3 linked regions of the Daphnia pulex genome follow. The protein of the gene in region 3 binds, or shares a complex with, the protein of the main gene of each other region. Links are inferred from orthologs where the notes say so. Each region holds a gene or a part of one and is shown on either strand. Other genes may lie near its edges.

The links. Proteins that work in one complex are often made in the same cells at the same time.
Region 1: the proteins of target of rapamycin complex 2 subunit MAPKAP1-like (region 3) and target of rapamycin complex subunit lst8-like are in contact, whole or in part, in a cryo-EM structure (PDB 7PE8), measured with the Homo sapiens proteins. The link is inferred for Daphnia pulex from reciprocal best matches to the Homo sapiens genes MAPKAP1 and MLST8. Residues at the interface, in NP_001006618.1 of Homo sapiens: Lys102, Cys103, Lys104, Asn105, Ile106, Gln107, Trp108, Lys109, Arg111, Asn112, Ser113, Lys121, Leu123, Phe124, Glu125, Lys126, Lys127, Ser128, Leu129, Gly137, Lys138, Gln139, Ser140, Ile141, Leu142, Val144, Arg145, Leu146; in NP_001186102.1 of Homo sapiens: Ala29, His30, Pro77, Ile78, Ile79, Ser80, Tyr81, Asp82, Gly83, Arg98, Arg110, Ile111, Trp112, Gln120, Cys121, Gln122, Arg123, Ile124, Asn139, Gln140, Ala141, Leu157, Lys158, Ile203, Glu206, Ser279, Gly280, Asp281, Gln283, Asp322.
Region 2: the proteins of target of rapamycin complex 2 subunit MAPKAP1-like (region 3) and rapamycin-insensitive companion of mTOR-like are in contact, whole or in part, in a cryo-EM structure (PDB 7PE7), measured with the Homo sapiens proteins. The link is inferred for Daphnia pulex from reciprocal best matches to the Homo sapiens genes MAPKAP1 and RICTOR. Residues at the interface, in NP_001006618.1 of Homo sapiens: Ala2, Phe3, Leu4, Asp5, Asn6, Pro7, Ile9, Ile10, Leu11, Ala12, His13, Ile14, Arg15, Gln16, Ser17, His18, Thr20, Ser21, Asp22, Asp23, Thr24, Met26, Cys27, Met29, Val30, Leu31, Ile32, Asp35, Val36, Ser84; in NP_689969.2 of Homo sapiens: Arg108, Gln137, Glu140, Thr144, Leu147, Arg148, Arg151, Lys152, Thr155, Arg182, Met183, Arg185, Ala186, Ala189, Cys192, Glu193, Leu196, Leu220, Arg222, Ile223, Glu225, Ala226, Leu227, Thr229, Thr230, His233, Asn236, Arg293, Trp295, Glu844.

Annotation. Positions count from the first base shown.
Region 1 is NC_060019.1:9,054,580-9,061,838, reverse strand, and holds target of rapamycin complex subunit lst8-like, read left to right. Parts: upstream 1-3,745; 5' UTR 3,746-3,857; coding exon 3,858-4,189; intron 4,190-4,256; coding exon 4,257-4,376; intron 4,377-4,441; coding exon 4,442-4,472; intron 4,473-4,532; coding exon 4,533-4,610; intron 4,611-4,694; coding exon 4,695-4,840; intron 4,841-4,899; coding exon 4,900-5,042; intron 5,043-5,111; coding exon 5,112-5,227; 3' UTR 5,228-5,351; downstream 5,352-7,259. Other genes in the region: uncharacterized protein LOC124191397, read left to right, coding at 760-1,165, 1,788-1,889, 1,974-3,016, 3,077-3,169, 3,235-3,663; N-acylneuraminate cytidylyltransferase A-like, read left to right, coding at 6,212-6,341, 7,132-7,259.
Region 2 is NC_060019.1:11,215,053-11,223,068, reverse strand, and holds the start of rapamycin-insensitive companion of mTOR-like, read right to left. Parts: upstream 4,209-8,016; 5' UTR 4,076-4,208; coding exon 4,039-4,075; intron 3,915-4,038; coding exon 3,855-3,914; intron 3,779-3,854; coding exon 3,613-3,778; intron 3,550-3,612; coding exon 3,418-3,549; intron 3,353-3,417; coding exon 3,162-3,352; intron 3,097-3,161; coding exon 2,708-3,096; intron 2,639-2,707; coding exon 2,329-2,638; intron 2,262-2,328; coding exon 1,924-2,261; intron 1,863-1,923; coding exon 1,746-1,862; intron 1,668-1,745; coding exon 1,485-1,667; intron 1,416-1,484; coding exon 1,207-1,415; intron 1,138-1,206; coding exon 1,048-1,137; intron 977-1,047; coding exon 760-976; intron 702-759; coding exon 478-701; intron 421-477; coding exon 356-420; intron 300-355; coding exon 160-299; intron 87-159; coding exon 1-86. Other genes in the region: NAD(P)H-hydrate epimerase, read right to left, coding at 4,691-4,814, 4,880-4,961, 5,044-5,300, 5,364-5,480, 5,553-5,849, 6,183-6,406, 6,474-6,556, 6,676-6,679; alpha-N-acetylgalactosaminidase-like, read left to right, coding at 7,200-7,360, 7,439-7,613, 7,702-7,770, 7,848-7,953. UniProt on the Homo sapiens protein: Component of the mechanistic target of rapamycin complex 2 (mTORC2), which transduces signals from growth factors to pathways involved in proliferation, cytoskeletal organization, lipogenesis and anabolic output.
Region 3 is NC_060023.1:2,532,831-2,540,195, forward strand, and holds target of rapamycin complex 2 subunit MAPKAP1-like, read right to left. Parts: upstream 4,247-7,365; 5' UTR 4,123-4,246; coding exon 4,083-4,122; intron 4,025-4,082; coding exon 3,938-4,024; intron 3,867-3,937; coding exon 3,281-3,866; intron 3,215-3,280; coding exon 2,916-3,214; intron 2,856-2,915; coding exon 2,518-2,855; 3' UTR 2,467-2,517; downstream 1-2,466. Other genes in the region: translation initiation factor eIF-2B subunit alpha-like, read left to right, coding at 96-108, 168-275, 344-483, 548-925, 985-1,110, 1,171-1,329; uncharacterized protein LOC124198557, read left to right, coding at 1,612-1,747, 1,804-2,378. UniProt on the Homo sapiens protein: Component of the mechanistic target of rapamycin complex 2 (mTORC2), which transduces signals from growth factors to pathways involved in proliferation, cytoskeletal organization, lipogenesis and anabolic output.

The sequences.
Region 1 (7,259 bases), on a different chromosome or scaffold from region 3:
AACTTTAGTTATCCATAACCTCTCAGGCAGGCCCTCAACCAGTTTAGCTACATGGGTAATCTCGGGGCAAAGCAAATATTGAAATAGTTTGAAGAATCATGAAAGTTCCCAAAATAATAAATTTCCATGCCATCTCTAGCGTGTTATAAATTCTGGACAGCCTGAGGCGATTTTCAAATGAATTTCATGAAAAAATATTTTTATTCAATTCTGGATTCGAACCTGGGAACTCTTGGTTGTCCTTAACTTTTCAGGAAAGCCTTTAACCACTTTAGCTATGTGAGTCGAAAATTTTTCATGGTAAGGGTAACTTTAAACCATAATGCTGACCAATATTTTCAGCATAGACTATGAAAATGGTCTTAGATCACTCTGAGAGAGGTATAAATTAAAACTGAATTGATGAAAACGTTATTATTATGGTGCCACTTTATGCGTTTATTTTATCACAATCACAGTCGAATCATTCAAAGAAGACCCGTTTTATTAAGTTGTGGTTTCTGCTCATAGATGGCGCTGGTGGTTGTCCAGAATTTTTACAAACTGTCCAAGATTTTTGGCGGTTGTCCAACTTTAGGAAGACGTTTGGCCTATCTCAAGCACGCAAATATGACATAGCCACAAAAGTGTCCAGAATTAGTGACACTACCCTAAATATTTAATTTTTTTAAATCTATTTCGCGTGAAATAATTTCATAACATGGTCTTGTACGGTATATCCAATTATCCAGAGCCATTAACTATGTTTACCGGTCTCTTATGGCGGAATATTCTCTCGGAGACGGATATATATATATTTATTATAACATATGCAAAAATATTATGCGATGTATATCTCCCGCTACTAGCGGCGATAGTCTCAACTTAATACAAAAAATGGCGAAAGCTAAGCCATCGTCACGAAATTGTATAGTTCCCAATTGCATTAATAGATATTCAGGAAACGCCGAGAATAGAGAGAATTATACTTTATTTGGAGTGCCAAGCAATAGTTTCAATGCATGGCAAGACCTAATGCCAAACGTAAAATTACATAAAACATCGAAGCTGTGCTATCGCCATTTTGACGATTCTGACATTGTCAAAGGGTACAATATTCTAGGTGTGTTTCATCCTTTCATCCGGTGGAGATTAAAAGAAGGCTCAAATCCCAAGTATTATATTGGTAATATTATAAAATAATTGGGTAATTTTCTGTACAGAAGTTGGCGTTGAACACTCGTGTATAGTATATTGTATTTGTTATTTAAGAAAAATGTAGTCTGCTAGTCTCGGGGCGTCTCACCTGTGTCTGTCGGTGTCGGGAGTCCCGAAGTTTATTAGTTACATTGCCGTTCAACAACCTACTAGTGAATTGTTTTAAATTGTGTAACATTGTTTTGTTAACATGGGGAAAAAAGAACACAAACGGTGTTTTATTAGTGGTTGCTACGGGAAAAGGGATAAAGAAAATGCTCATGTCGGAGTTTTTGGTGTGCCAAAAGCTTCATTAAAAATTTGGCAAGACATAATTCCAAGGGGAGGCTTAACCACTTCTTCGAAGATTTGTAGTCGGCATTTTGACGACGACGATATAGAAAAAGGAAGAACAATTCAGGACAAATTTTACCCTTATTCTAGATGGATGCTAAAGCCTGGTGCTCTCCCAAAACATTTTTTAGGTCTGTTTTTTTACAGCAATATAGAGAAGAGTTTAGATACAGTTTTACACATTTAGATATAGTTAAACGTTTTAGGTTTTACTTGTGATTTCAATTTTGATTGTATTTTATTTTTTTGTTTATCAGGACATTCATCAACAAGACCAACAGTGGCCAGCTCAACATCACAGAAATCAAAAACCACCCTAAAAAATTCCTGTAGTTCTAAAACTTTGCCAATAGCAAAAGGTAACTTTGCATTGCTATTTGTTATCTGATTCTTTTTCAATTATCAAATACATTTTTCATTTTTCATTATGTAACTTCTCACAGATCCACCTTTATTGTTACCTAAACCTAAAGATGGAAGTGGTTTACCTATTCAAACTAAGACTGTTCCGGAATCAAGCATCAATTTTTCAGGCCCAAGCCATACTATTCCTCTTCCAGTTGATGGGCCTATAACTCACTACATCGTCGTTCATGATAATATTGCTGTACCAAATAAACCCACACTAACAGTAGACGGTGGGCTAAATGTAAATGGTACTCTGAGCAATTTGGTCACACCTACGGTGCAAAATGATCGTATGGATGTTAGTTCTTCTGCGTCTTGCAGTTTTGACCACAGCTACGTACTGGTACCTCCACGAACACCAACTTCTCTAGAAGAGAGTGCTGCTGCGTCATCGACATTGCGCAATTTCGAATCAGCTACATCTCAGGAAGCACAAGAAAATGCTGGCCCAAATGAATCGGATCACAATTACGTTATTCGTTCTTCTTCGACCCCTACTGTGAATGAGGAGGAAAGTTTCCATTTGGGTATGGCGGGTTACCACAACTTCATTAATGGTGTCGTTACTCCTACAGCTGAATGGACTTGGTCCTTCAACGAACGAAACAACAATTTAGTTTGTTCTTGTCATATTTTTTCCCATGACGGTGTGATGACTATAAAATCTGTTAAAATTGTCACCATGACCAAAGTTGCGTTGTATCTGAATGGAAAACCCATCACGCCTCCAGATATGCAATTTGAGTTTCGAAGTAAAGCTGATTTAGCAAATATTCTTGAAGATTTCAATTACAGAAGAACATGTCAAGGAATTGTGGATGATTCGCTAGCAGATACCGAAGTGACGGGTAAATGTGCTGGTATCAAGGAAGGCAATTTGTGGCGCTCAAAAATGTGCATGGGAATTGCAAACCCTCCTGCTTCCGCTCTCTGTTCAAAATGCCGCGTTTTTAAAAATTATTTGAAGAGAAGTACAAATAATCAGAAGACCAAGAAATTGAAAAATTCGAAAGAAGATTATAAATCGAGGTTGCGTTCCACCAAGCAAAGGTTGACACGATCAAATTCTAAAATTGAGGTAAATTATTGTTGGATTTTTTCTCGGAATAATCCTTTAATAGTTCTTTCTGAATTTCAGGCTCTTTCAGGTACCATAGAAGGTTTGCGCAATGAAAGGAAGAAGCTTTACTGGAATAGCTTTGATGTGAAATTAAAGCTTTTAAAGCCCAAAGTAATGATTAATTGATATGTCAAATTTCTCTTTTCAGCTAATTTACAAGAATTACTCACTTTTAGGAACAGCTAGTTGTTAAAACAATGATGGCCAAAGCAACAGTGAATCCTGGAAGAAACGATCGATTCAGCGCAATGCGTTACGATCCCGAATTTCTCAAAGAATGTTTACGAATCAGAAACAAAAGTTCTTCGGCGTACAAGCATTTAAGATCCGAAGGCATTCTTCCCCTACCGAGTCAGAATACACTCTTAAGAATCATGAAAAAAACAGATCTCGGTGATTCTAATAAATCAACGCAACCGGATCCACAAAACGTCTCCGCCGAATCAAATTTCATGGAACAAACAAATGTGGAAAATGAATGTCCTGCCTTACCCCACTTCACTGAGTCCGTATCGCCTACACCTGAAATAATGTTGCTACATTCAGAAGAAATACCTGTGTCTGTACAAGAAGAAATGATTGTTGAAATCTTGTCGGTTCAATAAAATGTGATTTAAAACTTAAAAATTTCTCTTCTTTTTTTTTAATTTCATACCTTTCGTAATTTGGCAATGCGGCCTTGGGCTCGTAGTTTGAGTTTCTGATCGTCGTCTGCTAGTAGAGTGATTTCAGAAGAAAAACAATAAGGAAATTTATTTTGTTGGTTTGACTTAAACGTCAAACAATATAATAAAACCTTATGGGTAATAATAATGGAGATCAAGTTATATTAGCTACAGGAGGTTATGATCACTCAATTAAATTCTGGCAAGCCCACTCGGGAGTGTGTACCCGGACGGTAACACATCCCGAATCGCAAGTGAATGCTCTCGATATCACCCCCGACAGCCAGCTATTGGCAGCTGCAGGATACCAACATATTCGCATGTATGAAATCAACTCTTCTAACCCCAATCCCATAGTCAATTATGAAGGTATTTCACGAAATGTGACTGCTGTTGGATTTCACGAAGATGGACACTGGATGTACACTGGAGGAGAAGACTGTTCTGCAAGAGTTTGGGATCTTAGGTATCATGTTTCCTCGTATTATTGGAAAAAACATAGTTTGATTGAGTTCTCATTTGTGTCATTCTAGGACAAGAAATTTGCAATGTTCCAGAATATTTCAAGTCACTGCCCCTGTAAATTGTGTTTGTTTGCATCCTAATCAAGGTGAACTATTGGTAGGAGACCAAAGTGGTGTCATCCACATCTGGTGAGATTTTACGTACCTTTCTTATTCTGTTGGGAATGATTGTAACACATGGATTGCTTATATAGGGACCTGAGAACAGATCACAATGAACAACTGGTTAGTATTGATACCTCAAGTATTTCCATTTCCATAATAATATCAATCAAATACTTACAGATTCCAGAACAAGATGCCTCCATTCAAGACATTTCCATTGATTCTTCTGCAAACTTCATGGCAGCCATTAATAACAAGGTGCCCATTATTGATGTTTATTCTTAGTTTCCCAACCAAGTCTTGAGATGTTTTTTTTCCTTTTCTCTCTCTACACAAATAAAGGGAAACTGTTATGTTTGGAGCCTCATCCCTGGGACTAAACTGCCGGACGGCGAAGAAGGTTCGACACCAACACAGTTGCGACCGAAAAGCCGTTTGTTAGCTCACAAACGTTACGGTCTCAAATGCAAATTCAGCCCTGACGCAAAGTATACGTTCGCCTCGTTTTCTTTGAATTTCTTTTTCAATCTTACAATTGATCTCGCAGGTACTTGGCCACGACGTCAGCCGATCAAACGGCCAAGTTATGGAAGACTTCCGATTTTTCCCTTCATTCCACACTGCAAACTGAAAATCAGCGCTGGGTGTGGGACATTGCCTTCTCTGCCGATTCACAATACGCAATAACAGGTACTTGACTCTTCTATTCTTCATCCTGGTTTTGTCTGCCTGTCTTGATGAAACATTTCGTTTATCCAGCTTCGTCCGACAACACAGCAAGGCTGTGGAGTATAGAAACGAGCGAGATAGCTAAAGAATACATTGGTCATTCAAAAGCTCTTACCTCATTGGCATTTCAAGACGGGACACCGTAAATTGAACATTTTACCATAATTTTCCCTTTTTTTTGGTTTTTTTTTTTCTTCTATTTTTCTCAAATGTATAAAATGTTTTTCATTGGCTTTGATACACTTAGGAACGCCTGAATTTTTAATGGTACCGTCCCACCTCACTTGTAGAGGTTGATTCATTTGGTAGAGCGGGAATCAACTCACCTATCTTGTGTCGTATTGGCTTTGGCCCCCTCAATCTCAAGACAAACGTCAACGTCAAATTGGATTAACATTCAATCAGTCGGGCGTAATGGGTTTGGGATGGCGTGACGAATTTCAGCCGAATGGAAGCAACCAAGCGCCCTATCCTCCTCTATTCATGTCAAGTCATCCATTTCTACAGTCCAGCAGAAAGGAGAAGGGAATAGTCTCGCGTACAACGAACGTGGGGCTCATCTATCAGTATTAATCTCCTTAGTTGGACACTAGCCTCGATTCTTGATGAGATTACCGAATTCAGGGCACCGAGGATGGACTTGATCGCTCCCGTGCCGGCCATTGTTTTTTCCAAACATCTTTCTTCCGCTCCTTTTTTTATCAGTTGGTTTTCCATCACTTGAATGTCCCATCACTTAAACCACCAATGCGGTGGACCGGGTTGGTCGTCGCATTAATCTCATGTCGACCTCTGATGTTTGATTCCGTAAAAAGTGCCAAGACTCCACATGCGTGCTGGCATCTAGCGACCAATAATAGCAGCTAACAGATTTGATTTCAGGATCCTATCGATCGGCGGCCGGGTTGCTGGCTCTTCTCTTCCGAGGCGGTGGTTGGGGAGAGCACACACAGCTTCCTCAAAAGAAACAAGACGTTATTTACTTTTGTTGGCTACGCTTACGTGAGACCCAGTGGAGTTTTAACTGCTGATCCAGGCCGGCTGAGAAGTAGAACCGAGAAAGAAATCCTGAATTATTGTCCGTCATAACAGAGGGATTGCTTTAGTTGCAGTGTCGAGACCAACTGCTGATGACGATGCACGTCGCCGGATTGATCCTTGCACGGGGAGGCAGCAAAGGAATCCCGCTCAAGAACTTGGCCTTACTCAAAGGCACGCCGCTTCTTCTCTGGGCGCTCAGGACCATGTCACAATGCAAAGGTAAATTACTACTGTCGCTACTATGTAATTCGATTTTAGTTTGTATGGCCGCAACCCCACAATTTTCTCTTCCAATGTTGAGGGTAACATTCTCCTTCCCGGCCGACATACGTGCAAGAATGAGATAGGTGTTTCTTTCTCCTTCTCGCAGCGCTTCAATTGAATTTGGATTGGCATTTTTTCATTGGATATTTGAGTAGGAAGGTTTTTTCATCATGTGTGTGTGTGTGTACAAGGAAAGCGAGATAGACGTCTAGCTGTATGCTCATTTGTGCGTGTCTAAAAGGGATGCCGAATGCAGTCATTCAGAAGGAGACGATCCGAATTCTGCGCCAACTGAGGCTGTTGGTGGTAGTCAGACTGGAATATAGGAGCGTTTTTCGTCTTCGTCGTCGTGGGGGGGAGAGAAAAGGCAACGGAGCGTGCTTGGCTCCAATACTACGCCCTGCCGCTCCTGTATAATAATAATATAGCTCCTAACCTTTTCTTTTCTTCTTCCTTTTTACAATAAATATATATATATGATTGGATGGTGGTGGTAGTAGTAGTTTTGTGTGCGTTACCAGGAGGATTGGAACGCCAGCGCAATTTTTTTTTTCTCTCTTCTCACCCGGCGCATTGCACGCAGCGCCTTCAATATGTGTGTAGATCCCAAAAGAATTTAGAAACTTTTTCCTCGCTGGTCCCTTGTGAGTCGAGTGATGAACGCCCCCAAGTTGTGATGTAAGGCGCGTTGCCAATGGATCGATTCAACTTGCAGACTCGGAGATTTGAATGTTCTGCCCAGCAGGTTTGACTTCCATTTGGGTGTCGTCCGACCACCCAGACATTCTTCAATTGGCCCTTGAAAACGGAGCCCAGGTCCATCGCCGGTCAGCCGAGACGTCGTCAGATGGAGCCACTTCACTGGAGGCCATC
Region 2 (8,016 bases), on a different chromosome or scaffold from region 3:
GAGGTTCCTAAATGAGCACAAGCCCACACAGCGGCTTTGAGTTCCAATATTTCTTCTTCCGTTTCAATGGATCCATTAGTAACCACCTGCAGTATAGGAGAAACCCTTAAATTGAAGGTACATTTTCTTTGTTAGCTCGGTGGAAAGATGAGGTACTACCGTGAAGAGCTTAGAAAGCTGCCCTGAAGTACGCAGAAAGTCTAGTCCTTCTCGGTGTTGATTTAACTGAGAGAAAAGATGGGGAGGCATAGGCAGATCTCGAATTGCATGTCGGACGTTGCTCAGGCGACCATAGCGACCTAAATAGTGGTTTTAGAATATTGATGGCGATATCACGCTTATATTAAACAAATACCATCTTCAGCTCGTTGATGCTGAGTCAATCCATCAGCTAAATCACTTTCAACCAACTGCACATACCTGCAGACAGAAAATGTTAGAAAATAGACGTGATTGTAAGGCTTGATCAGATTTTACCGAACGTTTAGGTGGCTAATCCACTGATCCAATTCTTGTTGAACAAGGGAAATCTTTGTGTTTTCCGTTTCAACGAAGGTTTCTTGCCAATGTTTGAATCCGGACATGATTGACAGCGTTTTAATTAGCAATAATCGTGCGCGAGAATCTAAATGTTGTTTTTCCTGATCTTGAATTAACTGAACAAATTGCGTCTGAAGCGGAATCAGCACTTCAATGCAAGCCTATTTCAAAAATACATTAATGAACATCAGAACAAGAAGTTGCAAGTGATTCTCCTACTGGATCGTCGGTGGCTTCATCGAGAATATCGGCAGCAGCTATGACTACGGCTCGACATTTATCATTAAGTTGATTAAGCAGTAAGGGTATAACCCACTTTGCGAGCGTGCTTGTTGTTCCATGCTCTTCTGCGGCTCGCAATAGCACTCGTATATGATGCGTGGCATAAATTCTGCCGGATTCCACGGTTCCAAGTAAAATCTTTTTCAAGATAGCCCTGCATCAATAATAATTCGATATAAATTCCTAAAAGTTGAGAAATGATGAATGGAACTTTTGTTTGTTTACCTAGCATACCCGTCGGTATGGAAATTGAGCGTGGAAGCGATAACCTTCAAGTAGCAATCGTGATTTGTACTAGCTACCAGTTCTAAAAGGCTGTTGTTTGATAAAAAAATAAGTAAGTAACACTATTGAGGGAAAGAAACATGAATTTTGATGTAGTACTCTTGAAAAATGCCAGCTTTCTCCAAAGCGATAATTCCATTAGCGGTGCTGCTCAATCGACCGATAAAAAGGAAGTAATCCCGGCAAGCTGTTGTAGAAAGTCGCCCAGGACTTAGTAGGCAGTCATGAGCCGAAGAAGCCAGAGAAATATCACGGATTGCACTGCTAACATCATCCAGAAATTCGGCCAAAATCTTTTCACATTCCAACTGTAAAAATAAAAATCGACCAAAAAATTTAATAACAAACCATAAATTCAAATAGAAGAAAAAGATTACCTCTTCAATAACTGTAAGAGAATCCATCAGATAACAACCAACGGTCGAATACAGACGCATACGGCTATTATTAAATTCGCATTGACAAAACTGATTGCTAGTGGGCTTGTAGAATTGCATTACCCGACGGAAAATCGATCTCAAATTCGAATCTTCCAACGCGCAAGAATTCATCTTACTCCACTAATAATAAATCAATAACAAGTTTATACAAAATTCGATTATTTAAGAAAAGATGGATTTCTATGAGATAATCTTTACCAAGAAAAGATTGGATAAAACGGACCAGTTCCAAATCAATGAATCTTTTTGCGCCAGGACTCCACAGTCTCGAGAAAGTGCTGAAAGAACGCTATCAGAATCTCTGCTGGATCTCATCTACAAATTCCAAATTTTTAAAATCTGATTTATTTTATAATGGGCGAACACAAATTCATACCTCTGATTCCATTTCTCCATTGGTCTGAAACTCCGTCTCGTCTCGATGGATGTTGGTTGCATTCTCCTCAGTTTTCTTGTATCTCACGGAGGAGTGTTTGTTGCACGATGCTCTTCTTTCTAATTCAACGATTTGTTTAAGAGCTAAACTGTAGGGAACGATTCCTTTTTTCTTAAGTTGGTGAATTTTGGAGAGGGCTGCTGCTGCTTGGGCGGCTCGGTGGCGTTTCACTGGGTCGCTTTTAAGTGACGTAATGCAGTCAACTAATTGAGGCAGACACATTTTTGTCCCGTGACAGGAGGGTGGCAGCAAAGTACTACTTAAATGCAATAACTCTCCTAAAAAGGAACAGATTCATAATTTAATAATAATAGTTAATATTTATTATATTATGCGAGAGTGTACCCAGCAAAATTGTTGCTCGGACCGATATAAAAGTGTCACTTGTCGTAATTACTTCCACAAGTGTCTGGACTAATCTGGCTTCAACCAAGCAGTAAACCAACAAGGCCATATGGTTTAATACAAGATTTGGTCTGAATTTGGAAATGTGCGGTAGTAGACATTTGCCTTCTGCAGCTACATAGCCTTCCTGCAGCTTCCAGGCGTCCTGTACACGGGACGGATCAGTAGCTAGAAGCGCTACGGAAAATTCGTCCGTCCATTCCGGCAGTGGTAACCGCAGAAGTGTATAGAAGAATTCCAACATTGATTTCTATATGAAAATGTAATTGTCATTTAATTATAAACCACCAAGCTATCCAATCAAGATGAAAGAACTTGCCCTGGTTTCCAAGTGACATGGGAGCAAGACTTTGACTAGGTCTTCAAGAATTTTGCAGCTCATAACATGTAATACTCCATTCCAAGACCTAAGAACTGTAAGCAGTGCTTGCTTAGCGCAGAGTAGACGAAGCTCACGATCATCTGTCGTAGTAGATGAATTGTTTCCTTCTCCTGCATCTATGTAGTGTCTATAGTGGAAATCACTATAGGGAGCAATCAGAAATCGCAGGTTTAATTTCGAAAGCTCACGTCGCGGCTCTGTGTCGAATAGGTAGAGTAGGGATGCCATCATAGCTTCTTGCATACGAGCAGAGGAGCAATCTAAAACAGCAGATGAGAAACATCGAACACCTCCGCTGGCAACGAACACGGATGGGTTTACGATACCTATAAATGGATTGAATTCAATGGATTGATGTCTTGATTTGGCTTTTAATAGAAATAAACCTTACAAAGTTCAGCTAGAATAGCCAAAGATGCTCGTACTAAACGGTCCTTTTCTTTGGTGCCATCAAAAGCAAGAGCTACAATTGAACGCGCCAGAGCAACAGGGAATGATGGTGGATCAACCAGCATCAATCTCCTACATAATCTCAAGGCTTGAGCACGTTCTGCCATGTTATCCACGAGCACATCCAGACACCTATTAGAGAACCAAAAGATATAGCTTAATATGCTTGTTCCTCTATATTTCATTCTTTATAATACTTTGCAATGAAGTAATGAAGATCTGCTTGAACCAATTTTTGTGCATATTCTTCATTTTTTAAGCACAGTCTAATTATCCTTAGACCAGCAGCTCTTACGGCTTTGCTGTCGTTGATCAAAGCAATTCGTAGACTGGAAAAAAAAGGATCTTTCAATACTGATACACAACAAAGTATATAACTCTTCTTTTGAGACCATATAAAAAAATCCAAAATGTCCAGTCCAATGCTGTCACAGCCTTTCTTCTCAATATGCTTTGAGATTACATTTAAAACCGATCCTATGTGTTGAGGTTTGCCAAGGGTAACAACATCTTTGCAGCACATTTGCAGCAAAGCATCCTTAATGCTGGGAGTCAGGTCTTGACATTTATAGTACAAGGAAGTCAGTCACCAATAAAACATAATAAAGTATTTGTCTATAAATTTGTAGTTTACCAGTTTGAGGGTTACCATTCACAATTGCTGAAGAAACTAGCACATCTGAAGTAGCATTTACTAGATGAAGAAACAGGATTCAAGATTAAATATCAAACAATGTAGAAAGCTTGCACACAAAACAGAAATACTGTAGGAAAATTAATTTCCTATAGTAAAACAAAAAAAATAAATAAAAATTTACGTTTGACAGTTCGCCCCAATCGTCGAGGCACCTCCATTTTCGAAGGTTGACAAACAACTGAGAGAATAAACGCGCGCGATTGAACTTTTTTGAATGCGAAACGTGTTCTCCCGTTCTATGAAGCAATCTAGATTACTAATAAGGGCTATGTTATGTATCACAAGAGAATGAATATAGCGTATTTGAAAGTTCCATTCACAACATAAACTTTTTAATTGATAATTTTTTTATAAAAGTCCATTATTAGAGAAAAATTTCTTTCACAAAAAATTAACATATATATTTTTCTTCTGAAAACGCGATCCATGAATATGATTTTAAAGTATTTTTTTTTTGTAAATATTAAAAAAAGCTTGTAAGATACTTGCGCATTGATGGATAGTTCAATTATTATTACTTTTACACCTTTACACCTGAAGAACCGGTATTAGCTAGTGAATAATCAGGTTGCTGACGGTAATATATTCTTCTGTGAAACGCGTAGCAAAGATTATGCCATCAGACAGCTGACAACTTTTTACCAAAAATCTTTTCAAACAAGATTTTATTAAAAATAATTTAATACTAATTAGTATAAAATAATTAATATGAAGACATTGCTTTTGAAATCGTGTATTTATTACGGCTCTGCTGGGCCCTGCTGATAAACATATTATAATCTTACGCAATTATGCGTTGAAGGATAATTTGGTAATTTTAGTTTGTATTTCGTAGCCAATGCAGGTGCAATAAAACGACCCCCTAAAAAATGGATCCCGTGGAAAAATCTTGCGCACCTGCCATAATCGACTTTAATTATTTTTGAACCAGAGATAATATGAACGTGAAGTAAATACTGTACAATTTCGGCGCAGACAAAGAAATAAGCATGGCTGGCTTTAAGGAATTATCTTGATCAAGTGGCCCATTTTCAACATCCCAGCCTGCAAGTACCAGACAATATTTAATAGCACACTTGTATGTATGAAAAATGCTAGCACAATAAGAACAAATGAATTCCTGTACCACTGGGAATATCAATACTGCAGCAGGGTGTAGACATGTGTAGCATATTGTCAATAATCTCAGTGAATTCCTTTCGGACAGGAGCTTTGAAGCTAAAGCCAAATAGTGCATCGACAACAAGTGAGTATTTTGAATTCAAGTCTTCAGTAGTTGGGCATGCTGTTAAAAATGGGATTTCAAACAGTTCACACTGCTTTGTAAGATTTTCATAGAGAGTCTTGGCTGTACGCTTGGGATAGAAGATTTCAGGACAGTAGCTATAAAAGAAATAAGAGACATGTAAAAAAAACTGCTGCTGCAAGTACCTCAGATTATAATACCCAAACATTTTCAAATGTCTTGCACAAACAAGTCCATCTCCTCCATTATTCCCTGGACCTACAACAATCAATACATTTTTGGATTCTGGAAATCCTTCTGCAATTGCTGATGCACAACTGATGAAAGAAAATAAACAACTAAATACAATCTACAGAAATTATTATTTTAAGGCTTATCAAGCTTTACACCTTAATCCTGCCAGTTCCATTAACTGTTCGACTCCAAAATAGTTGAAAAGCTCCACATCAAGTGCAATTGCATCGGATTGGTTGAGATAACTATGGGGATGCATTTTAAACGAATGTGTTGATCGTATCAATGGAAATGTTTGACTTTTCCTGTAGATTTGAGAATTCCTATAAGTAAATATTTTGCCGAGTAAACTGATGCTGCCGACAGCAGAACGCATCGTAAACGTTATGTCAAAACGAATAAACAACAACACACCTCCTACTTGCCATACCGTTTTCTCAATTATTTCGTATTTTACATTTCACACGTAAAAATAACTGTTATTCGGCAATAATCGCAGATTTTTTTATTAGATGAAATATCCAGCAGTGCGCAGTTTAATTTAAAAAAAAAATTATATTATACGACGATGTTGGAATTTATTTTTGAAATAAAAAAAAATTAGAGAAAACTTCGAAATCCACTTTTTGGTTACCCCTCAAAATTTCTGCATTCGCACTCGTTATTAATTTATACAAATCCAATCGTTAATAATCCAATTTGTTGTTAAGTAGTGGTATTTTCTTAACTAAGTTTAAGTTTTTAACATTACTATTTATAATGTGGAATGTACAAGTGTATTTTAATTTCTGCTAAATAAAGATGATGTGTAGTAAACAAGAATGAAAAAGGCAAATATGAGAAACCCAACATAGCACATAGTTTTCCTGTTACCGCTTCCCATGTTTAAAATGTTCTTGACTCTTCCCATGCTTTTCCCCAAAAGACTGTGTGAGCTGTCAAAATCATCAACCATTCCATTTAAAAAGCTATTTTGATCCTTTGTTTCATGTTCAATTTCAAATGCCAGCTAAAAAAAATAAGAAGTTAGACACAATTAACAATTTTGGAAGAATAAAGCAGTGGCAGCAACTTACACTTTTTAATCTTGATACTTTTCCGGCTAGTTCCTGGGCAAGACGCTCATTTTGCTCTTCCACCACGTCATCTTGAGCGGGACCTAAATAAAAATAACATTTCACTCAAAAGTAGAACACTAGATTTCAGAGAAAGGCTAGCAGCAGGAGAAGAAATTCTAAACCAAGATGGTTACACGGCAAAATAGATTGAATTTTATACCCATGGCAGAGTATCCCCACTCGTTGTTTTTTTTCCTATGCGCAATTTTCGGTGCTTTACGTTGGATTCTTATAATAAAATAGCCTCACAAGTGTGACGAAACTCGGAAGTTACGTGGCAAATAACTCGAATAGTCAGACTCGAACAACATCACCGATTCACCATTCGCTGATTAAGTGACAAAACAAGAATGTAAAAACTACCTTTTTCAGTCGCTAGGTGGCGAAGAAAAGCCATCTGCTGAGAACAATTCAATATAAAAATCAAAACAAAAGCAAGTGTCAAGTGTCATATCAAAATAATACGGGCTCTTGAGTAACAATACCGCCGTCACTGAGAATTGAGGTTTTTGTTACGACAGCTGTCGTTTCTTGCAGTTATTATTTATTTAATCTAGAACAGAATCTAGTATTCTCGCAGATCTCTGATTGTATGCCGTTTCTCTTATAGGTTGTGAAACATATATTGACGAGAAGCTTAGACCAGTGTCGAATATCCGCTTTGAAAACGTTCAAAACAATCCAATGGAGATATTTTTTCAAATATGCTTGGTGATATTAAGTTTCTCGTCATTTTCACACTGCCTTGATAATGGTTTGGCATTGTCTCCACCAATGGGGTGGCTGGCGTGGCAGAGATTTAGATGCAACACCGACTGTGTCAATGATCCAAAGCACTGCATCAGGTTCCAAACAATTTCCTTTTTAATAAAGTAAAATGTTTCATTCCAGGAATTTTTTCTTAAACAATCTTTACTCTGTAGTGAACGATTATTTATGGAGATGGCTGATCTTCTGGTCTCAGAAGGCTATGCCAAAGCTGGTTACAATTTAATTAGCTTGGACGACTGCTGGTTGGATAAAGTAAGAGATTCTGATGGCAGATTGAAAGCCGATCCCATTCGATTCCCTAGTGGCATACCAGCACTTTCCGATTATGTGAGACGATTATCATTTCTTTGAAGTAAAATATCTTATCTCCGCAAATAACTCATTTAATTATATTTTTTTTGTATTTTTTTTAAAGATACACTCCCGTGGCTTGCGATTTGGAATTTACGAAGATTATGGAAACTACACTTGCGCTGGCTACCCAGTAAATTGATTTTTTGCTTTACTGTTTATATTTTCAGAATGGTTAAAAAGTAATTTGTTTTCAATATATTTATTAAGGGTATTTTGAACAACATGAAATTGGACGCTCAAACTTTTGCGGACTGGAAAGTTGACTATGTCAAACTAGACGGCTGTTATTCATTCCCATCTCAAATGGATAAAGGTAAAATAATATTTTGTCTTTGAGTACTAGCTGTAGCCTTGCAATTGGTGGAAAATTGAAGTA
Region 3 (7,365 bases):
GCTGGCAAGCTGCTGTGCTGCTCTTCTAGCTGAAACTCCAAGTTAAGTAGAGAGGAAAAAAGTTTACTAGTGCGCAAAAAAGATATAAGTATAAAATGGAAAATACAAGTAGGTTTAGTTATTAAATAATGTTAATAAAAAAACTAATGTAATCAATGTGCTTTTAGGAAATGTATTGGATTTTTTCCAAAAAATTGTGAAAGAAGAGCCGGATGTTTCAGCAGCTGTTGCAGCTATCCGCACATTAATGAATATATTGGAAAACTTTGGTGATGGTTAGTAAAAACAAAATAATATCTATAAGCATAATCATTATCAACATTAAAGACTATCATATTCACAGGTGAAACTCTTCGTGGATTGTCGGAAGAACTGAGAAAAGCAACAGAAGAAATGAAGAAAGCTGAATGCTCAATTACATCAGTTCAATCAGGCTGTGAACTGTTTCAACGGTTTATCACACTTACTTCTCTTGAACAATCAGTATGTTGTCTATAAATATGAATCATAAATTTTTAATAGATTTAAAATAAAACATTCTTTTTAGAATTTCAAAGATTGCAAGGAGATTATGAAGAAACGAGGAGAAATTTTTCTAAGGAAATTACAAGAGGCTAGACCTAAAATTGCAAGACTAGGGGCTCCTTTTATTCTTGATGGACACAAAATCCTCACTCACTCCAAATCAAGAGTGGTTCTACAAACACTAGTTGAAGCAGCTGTTATATCCAAAAAACGTTTCCATGTTTTCATCACTGAATCTCACCCGGATCTAAGTGGTGTCGCTATGAGAGACGAGCTATTGAAACACAGTATTGGTTCGACTCTCATTTTGGATTCGGCCATGGGTTATGTCATGGAATCAGTGGATTTAGTGCTTGTTGGAGCTGAAGGTGTTGTTGAAAGCGGAGGCATTATCAATAAGGTACGGATAAAATATATTTATTTGACTATTTAAAAAAATTGAAAAATTTATTGAAATAGATTGGAACATATACTATGGCGCTGTGTGCCAAGGAAATGCACAAACCCTTTTACGTTCTCGCTGAGAGCTTCAAATTTGTCCGTCTCTACCCGCTGAACCAACGCGATTTACCCCAAGAACTGAAAGTATGTTAAATTTTTTAACCAATTTTCCATAATGCTGAAACTTGTGTTGAATTTTTTTAGTTCTCGTCAACTATTATTGAATCCAATCATTCTAATCTTCTCGATCAGCATCCTCAAGTTGATTACACGCCACCAGGATATTTGACTTTGCTTTTCACAGATTTGGGAATTCTCACTCCATCAGCCGTCAGTGATGAATTAATTAAACTTTATCTATGAAAGAGAGTCGTCTAAATATAAAAACATCGATAAATGTGTAAATAAAATACACGTTCATGTCACTTTTTTTGTGATTTTAGACATTTTCCTGCGCGTGTGGAAAATATAACATGCAGTAAGGTCATCTGTCGCAAGGTGGCGTTTCGAACGATGCACTTCAAATTGGAAACCGTTGAAGTTGTTAGCGTTGGTGCTAATTTAGCTCTAACTTTTTAACAATCAAAATTAGGGAATAATAACAAAGTTTAATTGAGACAACTACAGAAAACTGTGAGGAAAAAGATGTTAAATGAGCCAAATAAAGACCACATTCCGGAGAAATTTCCAAGAGAAAGAAACAACATTGATGACTTCATAAAGAGGAGACCAAGTCTTAACAGAAGTATTACTGGTGGTGGTTCTGGTTCAACTTTTCGAGGTAATGAAATGTTGTGGATATTGTTTGTCAATTTGTTCACTATGAAGTTTTTACAGCTGCTTGTGCTGCGGTAGACTCATCCCTACCTCCTTCTGGGAAGAAACATAAAATAACAGAACTATGTCTGAATCATACCCTGAAGGAAATGAAGTTTAATGCCTTAGAAAAAGAGCAAGATGCTGTTGCTGCCTATTCAGAAAGGCTACGGGATAACATTGAAGACATTCTAAACAAAGTTCTAGTTTCTACTGGAGATAAAGCTCATCAGAAATTTGAGAAACGAACAAGATCAGCCACAAAACAACTGAAGAATGAGAAGTTGCTGTGGAATGAAGAATACAAAAAGAGAAGAGAAGCCTATTTAGATGCAAAGAGTAAGCTTAAAGATGTCTTGAAGGGAAGAGTGCAAATTGAAACAGGCCGATTGAAATCTGAAGATGTAAAGTTTCTAAAGAGCTTACCAGATTTTGCAGCAGTCAACAAGAAAATTGTTTCATATCAAACACGCCACTACATAGGACTCGTACACCTGGAAAAAAATTCCCAACAACTACATCGGTCCTTATCAACGGTTGAGCGTCAACTAGACGAAGTTCAGAGCATGATAGTTCCAACTTTTCAATGGACATAGGACCTTCTCCCATTCCTTTCTGGATAACGACGTCTACAATAATCCTTTCTTCCGCTACATAATCCGCTATACTTTGTAAAAATTGACATTTCGCATTTTAAGGTTTATTAAACAAACAATTGAATTATTAAAATTTCTTTTAACGAATCAGGCTGGCTTTCTTGTTGACGTATGACATGTGATGGAGGTACTCCTGGCGGTAAAGTCCTCCCCGGATTTCTAATATGAATTTTAACTTCGCCACAACTTGTTCGATGGTCTTCGAGTCACACTCAATTCGCAAACGCCTCCATTTTCTTTTATCTGTGTCGTAATACATAATAGCAACTGATGCTGGCAATGTTTGCATAGGAACACAATCTACGATCACTTCAATAGGTAAACGGGTTGGTTTGAGATTGGGCCTTGACCACAGTAAAGTTGTTACAGACCGACTAGTTGGGCAAGGCTTGATCTCCACTTGGTCCCACGAAATTCCTGTGCGAAACGTTATTATTGGATTTGACATGGATAATTTATAACATTTTATTTATTTACCCAAAGTTATTTCCGTGTTTGGCCGAACTTTGTGTAGCAAAAATCCTTTGAACGAATGGTAGTCGGTAGATTCCAGAACAGCCCCACGCTCTTCTGGTTTCTCAGTGTTGAGTTGATCAACTGTTTTATTAGTCTCGACGTCTTTCTTCGCCTCCTTTGGGGGATTGGCAGAGCGAACCAAAGCCAGGGAGGTGAATCCAAACTTCCCAACAACTTCTTTAGGTTCTAGGCAAGGGAAATCGGCATCTGGACTTCCGTCGTCTTCGGCAATGAATAGTGCGTAATTATCCACAGATCCACTAATTGTAAAATATATACTGAACTTAATTAATCTAATTTTTCAAGGGCAAAATTTTAATATTTACGTTAAAGGAGGTTCTCTTTTTTCGTGGCTGTATTTGTAACAAACAAGGCCGATAAGTTCAGAAACCTTTGCCGAAGCCACAACACAAACGGTCATAGGAAAGTTGCGGTCTTCAGCACTTTGCATGCTTAAAAATATCCTTATTGTTCTTGTGGGTGCTCTCAATTGAGAATTCCCATCAAATTTTGCATACTCAATGAATGGCGAATCGGGATCCGAGGCGTGCTCAGCCATAAGTTTAGAAAGGGCAGATTTGGAATTCTGAGCAACCACTTCCTTCTTTTGAAATATCTTGGTCTTTTCACCTTGATCTAGATTGGTCAAATCTGGCTCTTTCCATCTAATGGTACTGATCATGGCGGCTGCTTGCTGTTCTTTCCTCATCTTCTCAAGCCTCACCACTGTGTTAAGCCTTCTCCTCCGAGTTCCAAAGTCATCATTACCATTTCCTAGAGATCTTGTGTGAATTCGTCCATCATCATCAAACTCTTCTTCTGAATCATCTAAATTTCCAAACCACTGTTTTTTACCCTCTTCTCTGATCTTCTTTGGTATATCAGCGTTCTGCAATATCATTTCGCACATGCCTGAATGGAGAGAAACAATGCAATCAGCACTATAGAAAATCAAATGTTCCAAAGAGAATAAAGTAACTCACCAGTATCATCTGAGTACAAGAATGAGTTTCTTACATGGGAAAGAATCCAATATTTGTTGTCATAAAACGCCATAATACTCTGTTGACCTAGAACCCAAATTCGATTTCGATTTGTACGCGCACCAATGAAGTAAGTATATCGTACTTTCGGATAGCGTAGCACTTAGATAATGTGTATAAAACATTGAAGCATTCTGTATTTTTCTTTTTTCATAGAGAAAGGAGACCAAACACCCAACTCTTGCTCTAATGTTATTGTTTTGCCTTTTTAGGGATTTAGTTTTAGGTTGTTTGACATTTTGATTGAGCTTCTGCTATGAGCGCAGTGTTGCCGCATCAAATCAACTGTCTGTTGCGCGAAAACGTCGGCAAAAATTAATAATTTTTTCGGCTAAATTTGTCTTCCATTCCATTTCTTAGATCTTCAAAAACGAATTGGGTAATGCTGTGAGTTTATTTCTTATTAACTTTTTCAGAAGCGAACACTATGTATGGTTCAATTTGATGGGCACGGTCGTATTGAAATTGGTCGAGAAAGAGGTAAAAATGTGTTTTGTTCTTTAAATACTACTTTAACATACTTATCTTTTTCTTTTACCATTTTAATAATGTTATGCCCCGCATCAAAATGATTTCTAATTATTTATTGTTAAATTAAATCATCGAGATCTTCATAATCATCAACACTGAATTTAACCAGAGCTTGGCGTGGTCGATGACGTCGTAGTTGAATCTGTGGTGCTTGTAACAGTAGTTGAGTCGGAAGTGCTTGTGACAGTAGTTGAATCTGTCGTGCTGGTTACAGTACTTGAATCGGTGGTGCTGCTGGCCGTAGTAGTTGAATCTTATTTTGGTAAATATTTTAAAAAATGTATAGTGATCTTAGAATTACGAATGTGGATTCATACTAAGTACTAACCTGATGTGGAAGTTGGCGTCGATCCTGTGGTTGTAGTCGCCGATGTAGTGGTGGAGGCCGGAGTGGTGGAGGAGGCGGTGGTTGAAGCGGCAGTAGTACTGGACGCAGCAGCGGTATTAGATCCTGGACAAACAACAACTCCGGCTGGAAGACAATTTGCGCCTTTCAAAGTGTAAGTAGCTGTCGAAGTTGTGGAAGTTGCGGTTGTCGTCGTTGTGTACACTGTCGATGTACTATAATCGTTCAATGTCATTTTATGATTGACGGTGATATTTTGAATTATGAATTTCTTAAGGAATATCGTGTACCTGGTGACGAGGACGGCCGGAGTCGGTTGCGGTCGGAAAATGCCACTGAAAATGTTGGAGAGAAGAGAAGAAAAGGCGTAAAAAGCGCCGAAAAGCGGATCTGCTACCCTGTAAACTGGCTGATCTGACGGTTTATCGAGCGACGACTGAATACTGAATGGGGAAATGAACTGCGGATTGGACTGGTAGGGGCGGATGGCCATTCCATTACGGTAATCGGGCAATGCGGAAGGCAGAACCCTATTTCAATTATTGACAAATACAAAATTAATAATTTGATGGCCCTTTTATCAGGAAAGATAAGATATTTATGCTTACTGGATGACTTGAGTGGGTTTCAGCGGCTGGTACTGTTGGTGGATGTCATCCTGGCTGACGAAGACATGGTCGGCATATAATGGAAGATTCCAGTACTGTCTCTTCCGGCGACACACCGTTGTGGCGGAAGGTGCTTCTAGTTTCGCGCAGTCAAACCTCTTACTAAAAAAAAATTATCAATCAAATTTTAAACAGGTAATTTTAATTTAGCCATTCAGTAATAAGAAATAAAAACAATTACTTGATTGTTATTGTTGTGGGACCAGTTGCTGTGGTGGTGACAACGGTGGTAACGGTAGCGGCTGCCCGATATTCGGGCAATTGATGAATGGCGTGATTGTTCCATAACGGTGATTCTTCGCGGACGACGGCAGCCTGTACGGAAGCGATGATCAGTACGAACAGAAAAATTGGTAAGTCAGCCATTATTTTCGCTTATTTCTGGGTGACGACGACTGAGCGAGTGTTCCAGGAACAGTAGCGCTAACGTCATCGGGATGGCCTTCTTTTATAGTGGACCCTGGCTATTTTATTTTCCAATATCTTTTTAAAACTGACCTTTCTCAAAGAAAAGAAGAGAGGGGAAGGTTATGGAGTAAAGTTCGACGAGGCGAGAACAGGTTCTCTGATTTTATAACAGATTAAAAGTTAATCATATATCCAGGCTTATATTAAATTGTATATTTCCACGACAAAACCTGCTCTGCTCTTATCTTGGGGTAGCAGGTATGTCCATCTGAATTTTTCCACGCGCTCTTTTACTAAGAAGGAAACCCGAAACCAATCTTAAAGTGTATTGTATATAGGCTAGTGAGAAGTGTGCCCTTTGAAGAGTTTCCTTCAAAAGATGGTCATCTAGATATTATTGTGGTTCAAGGTCTTCTTCTGTATAGTTCAATCGGAGTTTCCACGTGTGTCGGCACACAAGCAAACGGAATTTCACCTGTCGTTCTTGACCTCAGACAACAACAACAAAAAACAAGGAAAAAAAGAGAGAAAAGAAAGTTGGATGTTTGGTTTTTTGAGAATTAGAAATTAGAATTTTCTAAAAAAAAAGTTGAGCTCTGTTTGCTTATAGTTATTTATATTTTCTTAGCTCTTCTTTTTTTAAATGCAAATGACAGCAGTAGTTTAAAAAAAAAAATCTTGTTGAAATGAGAATGTGACGTGATGTTCATTAGATTCCCGTGTTTAATGAGAAGCTAAGATCAATGGCGCAAAAGGGCTACAATGAATAAGACCTTCTGGCTTGTACCTTATACAGCTCTAGCCTGGCTACGTTAAATACAATTTATAACAAAAGAGGCTTAGGCTGCCGAGCTATCATATGAAAGGCGACGGTTTATTACAGTTCAACGTGTGCTTCCTGCGCCGCTTCTGCGCAGCTTCCCTCGGCATACATGTAACAAGATAGTACCGATGTTGTCTGTAGTAAAAGCTCGCAGACGCGACCGTGGAATCAGCCAAAGTACAGTTCATTTGAGATTGGGAGCCAGTGAATGTATTAAAAAAAAGTTCGCATTGTTTTTGGCTTTCCTTTGTGCTATTGCTCTATTGCAAACTACAAATAACCGACAAGGATTTCTGTGTAAGTTATACGTTTTTCGTTTATTCTTCTGTTATTCCGTTCAAACCCGCTCCTTCTTCATTAGTGAAAGTAAATTAAGCTGATTTACTTTGAGTGACGTTTTTCGTGGGTGAACTATCTGTTGTTACTCTCCGGGGAGTCTGTGATTATTTAGGCAATTTTATCGATTCACTGATTTTGAGCCGACGACTTTAAGGTAGTATATGCATGTAGAGTATTCGGGCTGCGGGTAATGGAAACCATTTACTATCGTAAATAAAACATTCTATTTCCGAGCGACTTGCCATCATAAATA